Saccharomyces cerevisiae S288C: one gene and its partner. The gene in region 2 interacts genetically with the main gene of each other region. Each region holds a gene or a part of one and is shown on either strand. Other genes may lie near its edges.

What was found.
Region 1: mutations in EAF1 (region 2) and SLK19 are lethal when combined (synthetic lethality), as found in Saccharomyces cerevisiae (3 studies listed by BioGRID, with this or other methods).

Annotation. Positions count from the first base shown.
Region 1 is NC_001147.6:709,162-717,081, reverse strand, and holds SLK19 (Slk19p), read right to left. Parts: upstream 4,217-7,920; coding exon 1,751-4,216; downstream 1-1,750. Other genes in the region: LIP5 (lipoate synthase), read left to right, coding at 245-1,489; TOA1 (transcription initiation factor IIA large subunit), read left to right, coding at 4,539-5,399; PEX27 (Pex27p), read right to left, coding at 5,506-6,636; YOR192C-A (gag protein), read left to right, coding at 7,350-7,920. UniProt on the Saccharomyces cerevisiae protein: Has a role in spindle assembly and stability. Required to ensure a timely exit form mitosis. Essential to maintain pre-anaphase spindle polarity. Associates to the plus ends of the microtubules at the kinetochore and spindle midzone.
Region 2 is NC_001136.10:1,189,481-1,196,656, forward strand, and holds EAF1 (Eaf1p), read right to left. Parts: upstream 5,405-7,176; coding exon 2,456-5,404; downstream 1-2,455. Other genes in the region: CNL1 (Cnl1p), read right to left, coding at 1-87; GGA1 (ubiquitin-binding protein), read left to right, coding at 579-2,252; protein-transporting protein BCP1, read right to left, coding at 5,932-6,783. UniProt on the Saccharomyces cerevisiae protein: Component of the NuA4 histone acetyltransferase complex which is involved in transcriptional activation of selected genes principally by acetylation of nucleosomal histone H4 and H2A. The NuA4 complex is also involved in DNA repair.

The sequences.
Region 1 (7,920 bases), on a different chromosome or scaffold from region 2:
GTAAATCTAGTCGGTCTTCTTTGGTGGTAGTTTAGATAAACTTCGAGGCTCATCTTCATATTTTTGGCTCCTATTAATGCGAAGCCATGCTTTTTCAATAGTTGTTATTACCCGGACGCTTTTCTCGAAGCAGTTATTTGAAAAGCACTTGTAGTAATCAAATATATGTATATGACTCGATGGGCATTAAGTATCCAGTTTTGTCAGTTATGTGGATTTTAAGGAGAACTGTTAAGCCACAATAATGTATAGACGATCTGTTGGAGTACTATTTGTTGGGAGAAATACAAGATGGATTTCGTCCACTATTAGGTGTGGAACGAGCGCAACTCGGCCAATAAGATCCAATGCATTGAATACTGATTCAGATAACGCTAGCGTTAGGGTACCAGTTGGAAATTCAACTGAGGTTGAAAATGCAACCAGTCAGTTAACAGGGACTTCGGGAAAAAGACGCAAGGGGAACAGAAAAAGAATTACAGAGTTCAAAGATGCTCTTAATTTGGGTCCATCTTTTGCAGATTTTGTTTCAGGTAAAGCTTCGAAAATGATCTTGGACCCTCTGGAGAAGGCAAGGCAAAATACAGAGGAAGCTAAAAAACTACCTCGTTGGCTTAAGGTTCCTATTCCTAAGGGTACCAATTACCATAAATTGAAAGGCGACGTAAAAGAATTAGGCCTGAGTACTGTTTGTGAGGAGGCAAGATGTCCCAATATTGGTGAATGTTGGGGAGGCAAAGATAAATCTAAGGCAACGGCAACAATTATGCTGCTTGGTGATACTTGCACTCGTGGATGTAGGTTTTGTTCTGTGAAGACCAATAGAACGCCTAGTAAGCCGGACCCAATGGAGCCCGAAAATACTGCCGAAGCTATCAAAAGATGGGGGTTGGGTTATGTTGTTTTAACTACCGTTGATAGGGACGATTTAGTCGATGGTGGTGCTAATCACCTGGCCGAGACGGTTCGCAAAATCAAACAGAAGGCACCAAATACTCTTGTAGAGACTCTTTCTGGTGATTTCAGAGGTGATTTGAAGATGGTGGACATTATGGCACAATGTGGGCTTGATGTTTACGCACATAATTTGGAAACAGTTGAATCACTAACACCACATGTCAGAGACAGAAGAGCTACTTATAGACAGTCTTTGAGTGTTTTAGAAAGGGCAAAAGCTACGGTTCCGTCACTGATTACTAAAACATCAATAATGCTGGGTCTAGGAGAAACTGATGAGCAAATTACTCAAACTTTGAAGGATTTGCGCAATATTCAATGTGATGTTGTTACATTTGGTCAATATATGAGGCCAACCAAGAGACATATGAAAGTCGTAGAATATGTGAAACCCGAAAAGTTTGACTACTGGAAAGAGAGAGCTTTAGAGATGGGATTCTTGTATTGTGCATCTGGACCCCTAGTAAGATCGTCATATAAGGCTGGTGAAGCATTTATTGAGAACGTTTTGAAGAAAAGAAACATGAAATAATGCACACTGAAATCTAATAGTTGGAAGAAAACAATTATGGCATGGACCGCAATGTCTTTGCTTGCTGGATTATTTATTTATATCTTGTATTTTATTTATTTTTATGGTTAGTATGTTTTTGCATATTTATTTTTAACACAGAAAAGTTAGGAAACAATATCAAATATTCGATACGAATTTGTATATTTACGGTATATCCTTAATATTTTATTCTCATGACATATTAAGGGAAAAGATAAAATGCAAAAGAAAAAAATGCGTTTATTTTTTTTCATTTTCTAACAACTTGAGTAACTCCTGCTTTTCTTCTCTTTCTGAAGACAGCTGCTTGTTCAATTGCTCGATTTCTTCTGACAGAGTTTTATTTTCTAAATTTAATTGATCAAACTTATTTTGGTACTTGTTTTCATAGCCTTTTTTCAACAGTTTGACCTTTTGTTCGTGTTTGGATGAATACTGGATATACAAATCTTCTGCTAATAACTTTAGCCTTTTATTTGTATCTTTTTCTTTGGCCTCATACTTTTCTTTCCAATCTTGTACTTGTTTTCCTAATGATTTAATTTTTTCATCATCTCTATCCTTTTGATCATTGCTTAAAGTAACGCTATTATTGTTATTATTATTTTGTTCCATTAATACTTCATTTTCTTTTGTTAATGTTGTTATCCTGTCGGATGAAATCTTCAATTCATTTTGAAGAGAAATAAGGTTTTCATGAAGATTTTCCAATTCTTTGATGTGCTCAGCCTGAATGTTACTATTTTTTAGTTGTAAGCTTTCTAATTCTAGCGAAGTTTTTTCGAATTTTTGTTTCTCCAGTTCACACTCATTTTCTAGTTTATGAACTTTGTTTTCTAGTTCCGTAATTGTTTCTTCCAAATGCAATTTTGATTCCTTTAGATCTTCAATATCTCCGTTCAACTCTGTAACTTCGGCATTGCGTATCTTAGCTTCGTCTTCGACAGTTTCGTATTTACTTTGCCACATCTTAAATTCATCATCTTTTGAAGTGATCTGTTTTTTTAGCTCGTCCATTTCACTATTCAATGAATCAATTTCAGCTTCTTTTAGTTTTAGCGTCTCCTCATTTTTAATTAATTTATCCTGTACTACCTTCAAATTATCGTCGTTCAGGTTATTCAAATCATCCATTTTTTGTTGCAAGTTGTTTTTTGTAGATATTAGCTCATTAATTTGTCCTATAAGGTCAGAGTCGTTGAAGTCCTTAGAAATCGATAAAGTTTCCTTCAAACTCAATTTTAAATTATCTAGTTCGTTCTCTTTAGATTTCAAAACAATATCTGTGCTTTCAATCTTATCATTCAGTTGCACAATGCGAGAATTCAAGTCATTTAACGTGGTCTCATATTCGGATAATTTATCATTATTGCCTTTCAATTCTGCTTTCATATTTTCCAGTTCTACATTTTTATCATTTAAAATTTTCTCATTTTGCTGCAAAGTGTTGACAGTATTTTCATGTTCGCCCTTTATATGATTTACTTCAGTAATTGAGGCATCGAATTTTTCTTGTAATATTTTTTGGTTGGAATTCAATACCTTAATTTCTGTATTCAACTCCTTAATCCTCTTTTTGAATTTTTCCACCTTGGCAATATCGCTCTCTCTTTCTGTATTTAGTTTATCTAACTTTTCATTTGTCAAATCTATTAGTAGTTGGTGATTTTTGTTCAATTTCTCGTATTGAAAAGACAATGATTCATTTTTGGAAATCAAAGAGTTTAACATTTGATTTAAGTGATATATCTGATCAGTGAGCTCCTCGTTTCTTTTTGCTACAATCTGAAAATTGTCATGTCTAATATCAAGTTGGTTGTCATCATCGTAGTCATTCCTCCCCTCTTCATTTGAGTTCGACTCCCTTGCAGAAGTCTCATACAAAGGAGTAAGCCTGTTTATATGAGAATTTGTTATATCATTTTCTTCGTCCTCCTTTTCCTTATAAGCATTGTCAATATTAACCACATTGTTACTGTTAGATTTTATGAAGTCTTCCTCTTGTTGTTTCTCATTTATATCATTTTCTAATTTAAGTGTGTCGGTATTGATATTGAAACTATCGTTTCTTTCAACTCCGTCGTTTATTATGAATTTATTTGGGCTTATGTTGGTCTCAATCATATCAATCGCCATTGGAGACGACATAATTTCTTCTTTGTCATTAATGATATCTTTAGTAGAGCTTTGTTTCAAATCAGGTACTGATTCTAACTGCAATTTCAATTTTTTATTAATATGGCTACCTTCTTTATCATTTTCATCTACGTCCACGTTTTTGTCGCTTCGTTTCTCTGAGGAGTTCATTTCAACTCTGATCGGTGAATAATTCAATGCAAGGACATGCTTATCACTAGTACTTGCGCCTCCTTTATCATCATTGGTACCTGAATCTGATTTTTTGTCATCAAACATTTTATTTATGTCTATATTCTCTAATGGATTGGCATTATTCTTGTTGTTAAGAGCTGATGACCTACCGTAATCAATCGAGCGGTCTAAATCCTGCTTCTCATCTTTCTCCTTCTCGAGCGGTTCATGAGGATGTATCACGAACTGGGAGGAACCAGGAGAGTTAAAGCTGGAATCCGGTTCGGAATTAAACGTGCGTGGGTTACGTTCTTGCGAACAGTTTTCTGAATTCTGCTCGCGTTGCTGAGCTTGCCCTAAAATAAGCCTAACTGGAGTGGTAGGAACTTCGTTCATGAATTACGATATGTGCTCAAAACCTTTTTTAACTGGGTGCCCCTTGACACCAATGATGCTCTTTTTAGTTAGTGTCCTTCAAATGAACCATTAAAGAGGAACTCATCGTACACTCTGAATTATAAATAAATAAATAAAGAATATAAATTAACGCGAAAAAAAGCTTCGTCAAGTATGATGTGAGACAGTTGAAGAAAAGATGAAGAAGCCAAATAACAAGGTGGATAAAGCCATACGGCATATTATCGGGGGCAAGCTCAAAGAAGAAAAGCGATAGTATCACACAAATCAAGGCCATACACAAGGGACATCGTTGGATATCATGTCGAATGCAGAGGCCAGCAGAGTGTACGAGATTATCGTAGAGTCTGTGGTAAATGAAGTAAGAGAGGACTTTGAAAATGCGGGTATCGATGAACAAACTTTACAAGACCTAAAAAATATTTGGCAAAAAAAGCTCACAGAGACGAAGGTAACTACTTTTTCATGGGACAATCAGTTCAATGAAGGAAATATCAATGGTGTACAGAACGACTTAAATTTCAATCTTGCTACCCCCGGCGTAAATTCTAGCGAGTTCAATATTAAGGAGGAGAATACCGGTAATGAAGGTCTAATTTTGCCAAATATCAATTCCAACAACAACATACCGCACTCTGGAGAGACCAATATTAATACGAATACGGTAGAAGCAACTAATAATTCAGGTGCTACCTTGAACACAAATACTAGTGGTAATACAAATGCGGACGTAACTAGCCAGCCTAAAATTGAAGTAAAACCGGAAATAGAACTTACTATTAATAATGCCAATATAACTACCGTCGAAAACATAGATGATGAAAGTGAGAAGAAAGACGACGAGGAAAAGGAGGAGGACGTGGAAAAAACCCGCAAGGAAAAGGAGCAGATAGAACAAGTAAAATTACAAGCGAAGAAGGAAAAAAGAAGTGCATTATTAGATACGGATGAGGTCGGTTCAGAACTAGATGATTCCGACGATGACTATCTAATTTCGGAGGGTGAAGAGGATGGGCCAGATGAGAACTTAATGCTGTGCTTATATGATAAAGTCACAAGAACAAAGGCGAGATGGAAATGTAGTCTGAAAGATGGTGTGGTGACCATCAATAGAAATGACTACACATTCCAAAAAGCTCAAGTGGAAGCGGAGTGGGTATAACTAAATCTTTAGACGTAAAGAAGAAAAAATGTATATATACAAGTACTATAATATCAAACTAAAAAAACGAAATAAAGAGGGATGCAACGAACTTGGTCATCTGTTGTCAAACAGCGCTTGTATGTTCATTAGCCGAAGTGACTTTGGCTCGGTTCCATAGCTTAAGGAGTTCAGTAACACCGGAACCTACTGAAATTATTTCGTAAGCTAGCTCTGAGTTATATTTGTCCCTTTTACCTTTAATATTAATTAGATTAGACAATAAGTTTAGTATTATCTTATAAAAATCCAATGTAATATTATTTTTCCGTAACTCCAAATTGACTTTGTCATTGGTAGGTAGTTTGTACTTTAACTCGTATTCCTTTATTGCATTACCACTGGTATTATAGATACTTAAATAAATTTCATCTCTTATTAGCTGTCGCCATTGTTCAATGTTTTTATTGATAGCAAGAATATTTAAAACTTCCCATAAGATATAGTGCTGTTCTTTGACGAATGTCATTAGTCTATTAGTATTTGCATGTGATGTGTTCTTTTTACCAAACATTGATTGTAGCTTATGGAACAGTATCAACTCATCTGTCAAATTATAAAAAGCTTCAATAATGTCGAAAAACCGGAAATTTTTAAAATAAAATAAAATTGATTGATCTTTATAATGTAGTTTTTTCATTTCTCTCAACCAGCGAAATCTTTTGATAATTTTATATAAATTGATCGCAAAGTTTCCGAATCTCAAATAGTACCGAAATAAACTCAATTGTTGAATCACCAATCGCAGTTTTGAGGAAAAATTTAGTAGTCGTATCTTTCTCGTCAATAGCAATAAACTTAATAGGCCTAGGGTATGTTGTAGTATTTTCGAACAAACTTCTTTACCTTCAAGCGTGTTAAAAACAAATTTTGCTTGGCAATTTTTCTTAACATAACGTTTTTTCATTTCAATAGAACCAAGTGTTCGCTTAAAGCTTCTGTCACTAGTTGTACTGGTTGCAGTAGCAACTTTTCCCTGATTCTGCGTAAAATCCGAATCATCATTATCCTGCAGAACAATTGGTTTCTTGGCGATTACTCCTTTGTTGTCTGTGAAATTACCTTCTTCTTTACTGTCAGTTTTCAGGTTGCTAAATAATGTGTTAAACTCTCTTTTCAAGAGCTCCCATGATTCGTCTGCATTTCTGTCCGTTAAAGTGGGGCTACTTATATTCGTATTAACAGGATCGGATGTCATGATAAAACGATTGTCCAAGTTAACACAAAGGTCATAGTCTACCTTCAAATCCTATCATCCTACTTTTCTCCAAAACTTTTTTTTTTATAAATAACATTTCATTCTATGTATTAACAATAATAGTCAGACTGACAAGGAAATTAAGAAAAATAAAGGATCAAAGGTAAAAAAATTAGCGCCGCTCGGTTTCGATCCGAGGACATCAGGGTTATGAGCCCTGCGCGCTTCCACTGCGCCACGGCGCTGCTAATTCTTGCAATGCCTCTCTGAGGAGAGACTTTGATATCAAAGAATTAAGGGACCATAAACTTAAAATTCTCATCTTGGAATGTGAATCTGTTGATAATTAGAGGTAAAAAATAGTATTAATGAAGAAATAATTACTGATCTTCTTATACTAAATAAGAGAGGTATATAAAACTGTTGGAATAAAAATCAACTATCATCTACTAACTAGTATTTACGTTACTAGTATATTATCATATACGGTGTTAGAAGATGACGCAAATGATGAGAAATAGTCATCTAAATTAGTGGAAGCTGAAACGCAAGGATTGATAATGTAATAGGATCAATGAATATTAACATATAAAATGATGATAATAATATTTATAGAATTGTGTAGAATTGCAGATTCCCTTTCATGGATTCCTAAATCCTTGAGGAGAACTTCTAGTACATTCTACATACCTAATATTATTGCCTTATTAAAAATGGAATCCCAACAATTATCTCAAAATTCACCCACTTTTCATGGTAGCGCCTATGCTTCGGTTACTTCTAAGGAAGTCCCATCAAATCAAGATCCGTTAGCCGTTTCAGCTTCCAATTTACCGGAATTTGATAGAGATTCCACTAAGGTTAATTCTCAACAAGAGACAACACCTGGGACATCAGCTGTTCCAGAGAACCATCATCATGTCTCTCCTCAACCTGCTTCAGTACCACCTCCACAGAATGGACAGTACCAACAGCACGGCATGATGACCCCAAACAAAGCTATGGCTTCTAACTGGGCACATTACCAACAACCATCTATGATGACGTGTTCACATTATCAAACGTCACCTGCGTATTATCAACCGGACCCACACTATCCGCTGCCACAGTATATCCCACCGCTGAGTACTTCCTCACCTGATCCAATCGGTTCACAGGATCAACACTCTGAAGTACCTCAAGCTAAGACAAAGGTGAGAAATAATGTCTTACCACCACACACTTTAACATCAGAAGAAAACTTTTCTACATGGGTTAAATTTTACATCAGATTTTTGAAGAACT
Region 2 (7,176 bases):
ATCGTAGTCGACTGTCAATTTATCAATTCCAAGAGGATCGTCACCAGCCGAAGCCGACTCTCTGGAATGACTTGAGTTGTCTTGCATTCTAAATAAGGCCAACTAACCTAGTTGAATATACTGCTAATGAATGCTAAAATACACAAATTTCATGTAAAAAAACCCCGCGAATTTTGTGTTATGGTTAAAAAATAACTGTAACTGAAATTACCCAAATTGGAGAAAACTTGTTAAGTCCTTATTTTAGCTACTGTGGATGGCTCCCTCTGTGGAAATAGCAGCAATTTTGGCCATTTACCATGTTCTAGAAAACGGCTAAAAAACAAATAATGACCCCGAATATTTTAAATCGCAAAACCTAAAATAACCTGCTATTTAACTCAATAACCTATGACAGATTAGCAAAAAGCCCTAAAATTTATAACTTAAAACCTAATGGTATTTTTAAAGGGGTGAATATTGCGCATAACCATTTCAAGTTAAAAACCCTTATATCATTATATAAAAAATATCTTAATAAAGAAGCAATTTGGGACAAGTCACTACTTCAAGTATAACCCAGACAAGAGTCTTTTAAAATGCCACAAAGAATTGAGCTTACCTCCGAACCAGTCAGAAAACCGCGGTCTACTGAGAGCTCACTACTCAGAAAGATACAAAGAGCGTGTAGATCCACATTGCCTGAACCAGATTTGGGCTTGAACTTAGATGTAGCTGACTATATCAACTCAAAGCAAGGAGCAACCCCTAGAGAGGCTGTGTTAGCAATTGAAAAATTGGTCAATAATGGGGACACGCAAGCAGCTGTTTTTGCACTTTCACTACTAGACGTGCTGGTAAAAAATTGTGGTTACTCTATACATTTGCAAATCTCCAGGAAGGAATTCTTAAATGATCTAGTGAAAAGATTTCCAGAGCAACCACCATTGAGATATTCCAAGGTGCAACAAATGATTCTTGAAGCCATCGAGGAATGGTACCAAACCATCTGCAAACATGCCAGCTACAAAGATGATCTTCAATATATCAACGACATGCATAAATTACTGAAATACAAGGGTTATACTTTCCCAAAAGTTGGGAGTGAAAACTTGGCGGTGTTGAGACCGAATGACCAACTGAGGACACCTAGTGAGCTACAGGAAGAACAGGAAAGAGCTCAAGCTGCAAAACTAGAAGAGCTGCTAAGAAGCGGCAAGCCCGATGATTTGAAAGAAGCTAATAAACTGATGAAAATTATGGCGGGATTTAAGGATGACACTAAAGTAGCAGTCAAACAAGCAATTAACAATGAACTAAATAAACTCAAAAGAAAAGCTGATTTATTCAACGAAATGTTGACTTCAGCCGATGAGCCTGATCTTGAAAATGAAGCTATTCAAGAATTGTATGGCGACTTAAAATCAGCGCAGCCGAAATTCAAAAAGCTTATTGAGGAAGAACGCGATGACGATGCGCTTGTTAGTAATCTATCAAAATTTAACGATCTAGTGATCCAATTGTTAAAAAGGTACAAGTCAATAAAAGGTATGAAGGAAGAAGAACTAAATGTCCCCGATACGAATGAACCGGCAAAAGAGCTTAATTTGATAGATTTTGATGACGATACAACAGCAAACACTCCATCTGTGACATCTCCAAGCAAATCTTTGCAACCTTTTGACGATCTTTTAGGGGATTTTAATAAGGTAAGTTTATCATCCCCAAAGTCTCCTCAAGAAAACGACACTGTTGTTGATATACTTGGTGACGCTCACTCAAAGTCATCTGGTATAGATTTATTAGATTTTGATTCGCAACCTGGAGAAAGTAAAACCGCTCTGTCCGCATATTCTAACTCGATTGTTCTACCTAATGGTTTACTAAATAGTTCAAGTAACTCCAAGGAAATCACAGCTCAATCGCAAAGACATATACTTAACCAATCGGATCACTTACGCATTGATTACGAATTAACTCGTGAGTCGATGACAAAACTACGATTAGTTATCTTCTATTCAAACATAAGCAGTGATCCAATAACTAATTTTGCACTTTTAGTGGCATCACCTAAAGGCACGACATTGTCTCTGCAACCGCAATCGGGCAATATGCTCCAAAGTAACTCCAGAGATGGTATCAAACAGATTGCTTCCGTAGAGGGTATATCTGTTAATTTAGGTAAGCCCATAAAATTGAAATGGAAGGCTAATTACTGCACCAAGGGTGATTCGAAGGAAGAATCGGGCACGACCAGTTTGCCCACAATATAATCAAATTCGGTAGAGAAGTTGAAAAAAAAGTAGATGCCATATTATATTACAGAGAACAGAGTGTTACGCCAACATACTAAACCAGAGAAGTAAAACGTTTTACTTATATATAATAGTATTCGTAAATTTATAAAAATCAAAAAACCAATATAAGCCTGGTTAAAAAAAAAAAAAGATCAGTATCGTAAAGTCGTAAAGTTAGGTCATTGTTTTTGGAACCTTTGTAAAATCTCCTGTGGAGTTGGTGACTTTATCCTTGGAGCAGAATTAATGTTAGAAATATTGGAAAGAGAAGATTGAGATGGAGATGATTTCGGTGGCGGAGCTTGAGACCCTGGTTGTAGTTGCTGCAGTTGCTGCACATGACTGGACTCCTCCTGTAACTGCTGCCTTTGCTGTTGAATCTGGTGCTGCTTTAGCTGTTGCTGTTGTTCTCTCAAGGTTCTATAATAGTTTTTTGCCGCCTTAAGGGCCATCTCAGGACCAATGTCTGGTTTTTGCTCCAACAACTTCCTCGAGTAACTTTCAATGATATCTTGCTCAGTATACTGTTTCTGGTTTGGTCTTGGAGCCGACGCTTGCCCATTTCTAGCCAAATTTGAAGAAGATTTGCCATTTGAAGGTATTGGACTTTGAGCTCGGGATGAATGTGCCTGCTGACTTTGCTGTTGCCTCTGTTGTAATCTATTTTTCACTGTTCTTCTCAATTGTATATCCCTTCTCAATGCCTCATCTCTTTGGGCTTTCAAAAGCGACATTTCTGCTGGGGTAGGGACCTTCATGTTTTTACAATCTAACGGTTTCCTTGGCTGGGTTGGATTGGGACGCGGCGTATTTTCTCTTTTTTTCATACATTTTCTAATCGCCTCAAACATGCTCGCCCAACGGAGTCTCCTATGACCTCTTTGTATGGATTCTGTATTTACACCTAAAGGCGATATTCTTCTATTCTGTCTCTGCTGAAATTTATGGGCTTCAATCAACCACTGTTGAGCACTATGTGCTCTGGGACCCTTGAGGTCACTAAAATTGAATCGTTCATTTAATTGTACAAAACGCTCAAAACACTGCCATGGCGTTCTACGTTCAATATTCGATAAATAAGAATATGTGAGGCGATGTGTCATATGTGCACTAATCAATTCCCAATTGTAGCCATATGTGTTAATATTTTTGACCAGTTCCTGATCGTCCTCAGACAGCCATATAGTCGGTGTTCTATTTTGAAGATAGCGTAATGAAGGTACTGCTGGTGGTCTTAAATAATGATTTCTTCTATTACCATAGAACATACCCCGCCTTTTGCTCAATTGTGATATTGATGGTTCTTCGTCAATCAATTGACGCTCAAGTAACTTATAAAATCCATTATCATCCAGTGACACTACCGATTTGGAAATTGGAATAAATGGTAAAGAATCATCTTTTTTTGGCCGTTCTTCATTAATACCATTATACAGCGGTAAATCCTGTATTAATGTTTTTTCAAAAGTATTGAGTTCGTCAACAAAGATTGAAAGTTTAAATGGGGGGGCTAGCTCTTTCTTTGATTCTTCGGTTTCGATCAACGCTGATGATGCAGCTACTTCATGTTGTATTAAAACAACTTCGCTTGAGGAGGATGGCTTTTTTAGAAGTAACTTGGTGTCAATAGAAGATATAATTTGATCGTGGGCACCTTCTTGAGATAACAAACCATCTGCAAAATCAAAATCACTCTTAGCTCCTGCTTCATTCTTTCCATTCTCATCATTATCGTTAGCAGCAGCACTTTCTTTTTCAGTAATATCGTCAACGTTCGCAATAATTCCAATGTCATCCTTACCGGCTATGCTAATATCGGAATCATTTCTTGAAGTATCCGATGGTCTACCGGACTTTTCAGATATGCGCCCGTCGTCAGATAATTTATTTTCCTTACCAGGTAGAAGTGTTTTACGTTTTACACAGCATATTTCCCCATAGGTCCAGTAGTCCTTGATTGCCTGTGCCATTGCTGTGCAGATAGCTACTTTATATTTGTGGCCCTCTTTAAAATCTGCTTGCATCCATTTAGCTTCTTCTAAAAGTATGTTTTGATGCGTATTGTGTTGTTTCCACGGATCGATGAATCTTTTAGGTTGTCTTAAAGACCATAATCCAAGTCTTCTTAGTTCTTCTATTCGCGAGCCAACAACAGTAATTCTGGCCTCGTTTAAGGCGTTGTTTATAATATTAGTGGTCAAAGCCTTGTGAGCTCTCGGTATTAGATTAATAAGAGGCAGAGTTTGTGACATGTACTTCAATTCTGCTAAGGGCAAAGCCTGGGGTATTTTCGATGGTATATAATCGTTCATTAATAAAAATACGGTCTCTAATGCGTCAACATTGTTCTCGTTATAATGGTCTGATGTATCTATCTCTTTCGCCATAATGTTCTTTATCAACGGATCCTTGAATTTTACTGCAGGTTGCACCTCAGTGGGATCTGCTGGTGGGTACTCGATGTTCTCATAATAAGTGTAGTGTGCTAATGCATTAGGCACTGGGGGACGCGGCGAAATAGGTAATGAAGCCATTTCCGAATTATTAGAAGATTCCAATGACTGAGATTGCATCTTCTGTCTTTTTTCATGTCGCTCTTCTTCACCTCCCATAGTTGACTCAAGTGGCCTTTTGTTCCACATACCTCCTGTCTTTTCAGCTGGCCTCAAAGAATCCATCATATTTTCACGGATTGAATTATCGTGGCTTGGAACAAAATGACTCTCTGATTTGACTGATACATTTTCGCTATTTTCTGGCAGTTCCCTACTCATTTTAGAATCGGATAGCCTCTGGTTAGGTACATTTATTAAATTTACATCCTTCAATTTCTTTTTTGTTATGGGAGTCGCAGCTGTATGTAGGAGCTTCGGCAGTGACGCCTCGTCAAACCTTATACCCCTTCGTATATCGTTTTTCTTTAAAAATGCATCTATTTCCTTCCGAAGTTTGTTTTCATCTGTTAACTCTAGCAGCTGGTTCAAGCGGGATACGCAGTATAGTTCGGTCAGTTTTCTATCTCTTTCATCAATTAAGTCATCTGCCTTAGGAAATTTACTTCTATCACTGCTCTGGTCCTCACTGAGTGATGCTGAATTAGGCACTGCTGAACTTGGACGTGAGGACATCTTTGAGGCGGAAACTGTACTTTTGATTATGATGTCTCTAAATAATCTTTATATTCTATCTGTTCGGCGGCTAACGCCTACGGGTAATAGCCGGCCTTTGAAAATTTCGCGGCTGCAGCAAGTACGCAAAAATCCTTATCCCTTCTAACGGTTCGAAAGGGGGAAGAACCAGAAATTTTGTAGTTACGCCGCAAATACCTGTATGCCCCGGCTCAAAATGCTCAACACTTATATGCTGACTATGTTCTATAAGGCTCAGGGTGAATGACCTTTCTTGAATTACAATCTGATTTCACTTTGCACAATATATACTATGTATTTTTATTGGAGCACACGACATTAAAAAGATGATCGCCCAGAAAAATTTTCAGCGGTGGCGGATTAATTTTTACTGTCCTCGGCAGCCCAAAATTATCCGTGTAGGATGACATAAAGGCTCAATGGCCGCTGCTGCTTCGTCTGTTAATAATATACAAATTGCACTAACTGTGCAGGGCAGTGATCGCAACTATTTACTTTTCGTAAAATTACCAAGTGGAAATTTCTGTTTCCAATTCATCGATACTTTTGACAAGGCCTTCGTGATCAAGAATCATGTATGAGCTGATAACACCCTTTTTAGCTTCTGATTCGAAGTGAATCTTGGCATATTTTTCAAAAAATCGGTCCTCCTCATGAAAGTAGTCTACTTCATCGGCCTTCACCCTTTTTTTGGATCTTTCGTCTTTGTTTTTATTCCTCTTACCAGAGTCGGTATCATCGTCAGTGTCAAAATTTACTTCATACTTCCTGGTGACGATGATATAGAAGTCATAATGTTTGTCATCGCCAAGTGCCGTGGCAACATCCTCCAACGTAATCTTGTATAAAGGTGGAACGACTTCCGGTGGCATATTAATCAGCCTTTCACTGAGAACCAAAGCACAATTTTTATTACCACTATCAATCATAGTTTTGAAGAAAGTGGAAAGTCTCATGTCCACTTTTTGTAAATATTTGACATAATCACTTAGATGATTAGCTTTGAAATCAACGAATGAAAGAAAACAGTATGGATCAGATTCTTTGCCGTCTGTTTTAATTGTGGTGGTTGGGGAACCTAGGATCAAATCTGCCAAGCTGCTTAGTTGAATCCTGGTACTTTCTTGAGGACCAAATAACTGACGCAGTAAATTCTTTAAAGCATGAAAATCAACTTCTGGGTTACCACCGAAAAAATCGAAGTCAATATTTACGATCTCTTCTTCTCCATTTTGCTCTTCTTCATTTTCTGAATCGGTGCTACTAATGTCAATTTCAGACTCGTCACTGCCATTTTCTTCCTCCACATTTTTTCTCTTCCTATTTTTTAAATCATTTAATTTGATAGCTTGAACCATATTTGTGAGTTAATTAGCAATCCTATGAAAATGTGGGCCTCATGAACAATCTAAATGATAAAATTATAAGGACATAATAGATAATATATTGACAACTCTTTTTCAGATATTTTTTCTACCTCAATCTCATCGCGAGGAATATAGGCACGGAAAGAGAAACTCGTATAAAGTGACCACGGATATCGAGAATTTGATAATTTACCCTTAACTGAAGTTATGGCACAATATCTGTATAAATTTTAATACATAATTTGCGGCAGGAATAACTGCAACAATACTCAAAGTTATTAGTGCTAGCCAGGCGATATTTTACATTAGGCTATTTTATTCCTTTTTCATTTCAATAAAAAAAGATAGTTTTTTTCGTCAACAATAGTTCAATGTCACAAATTG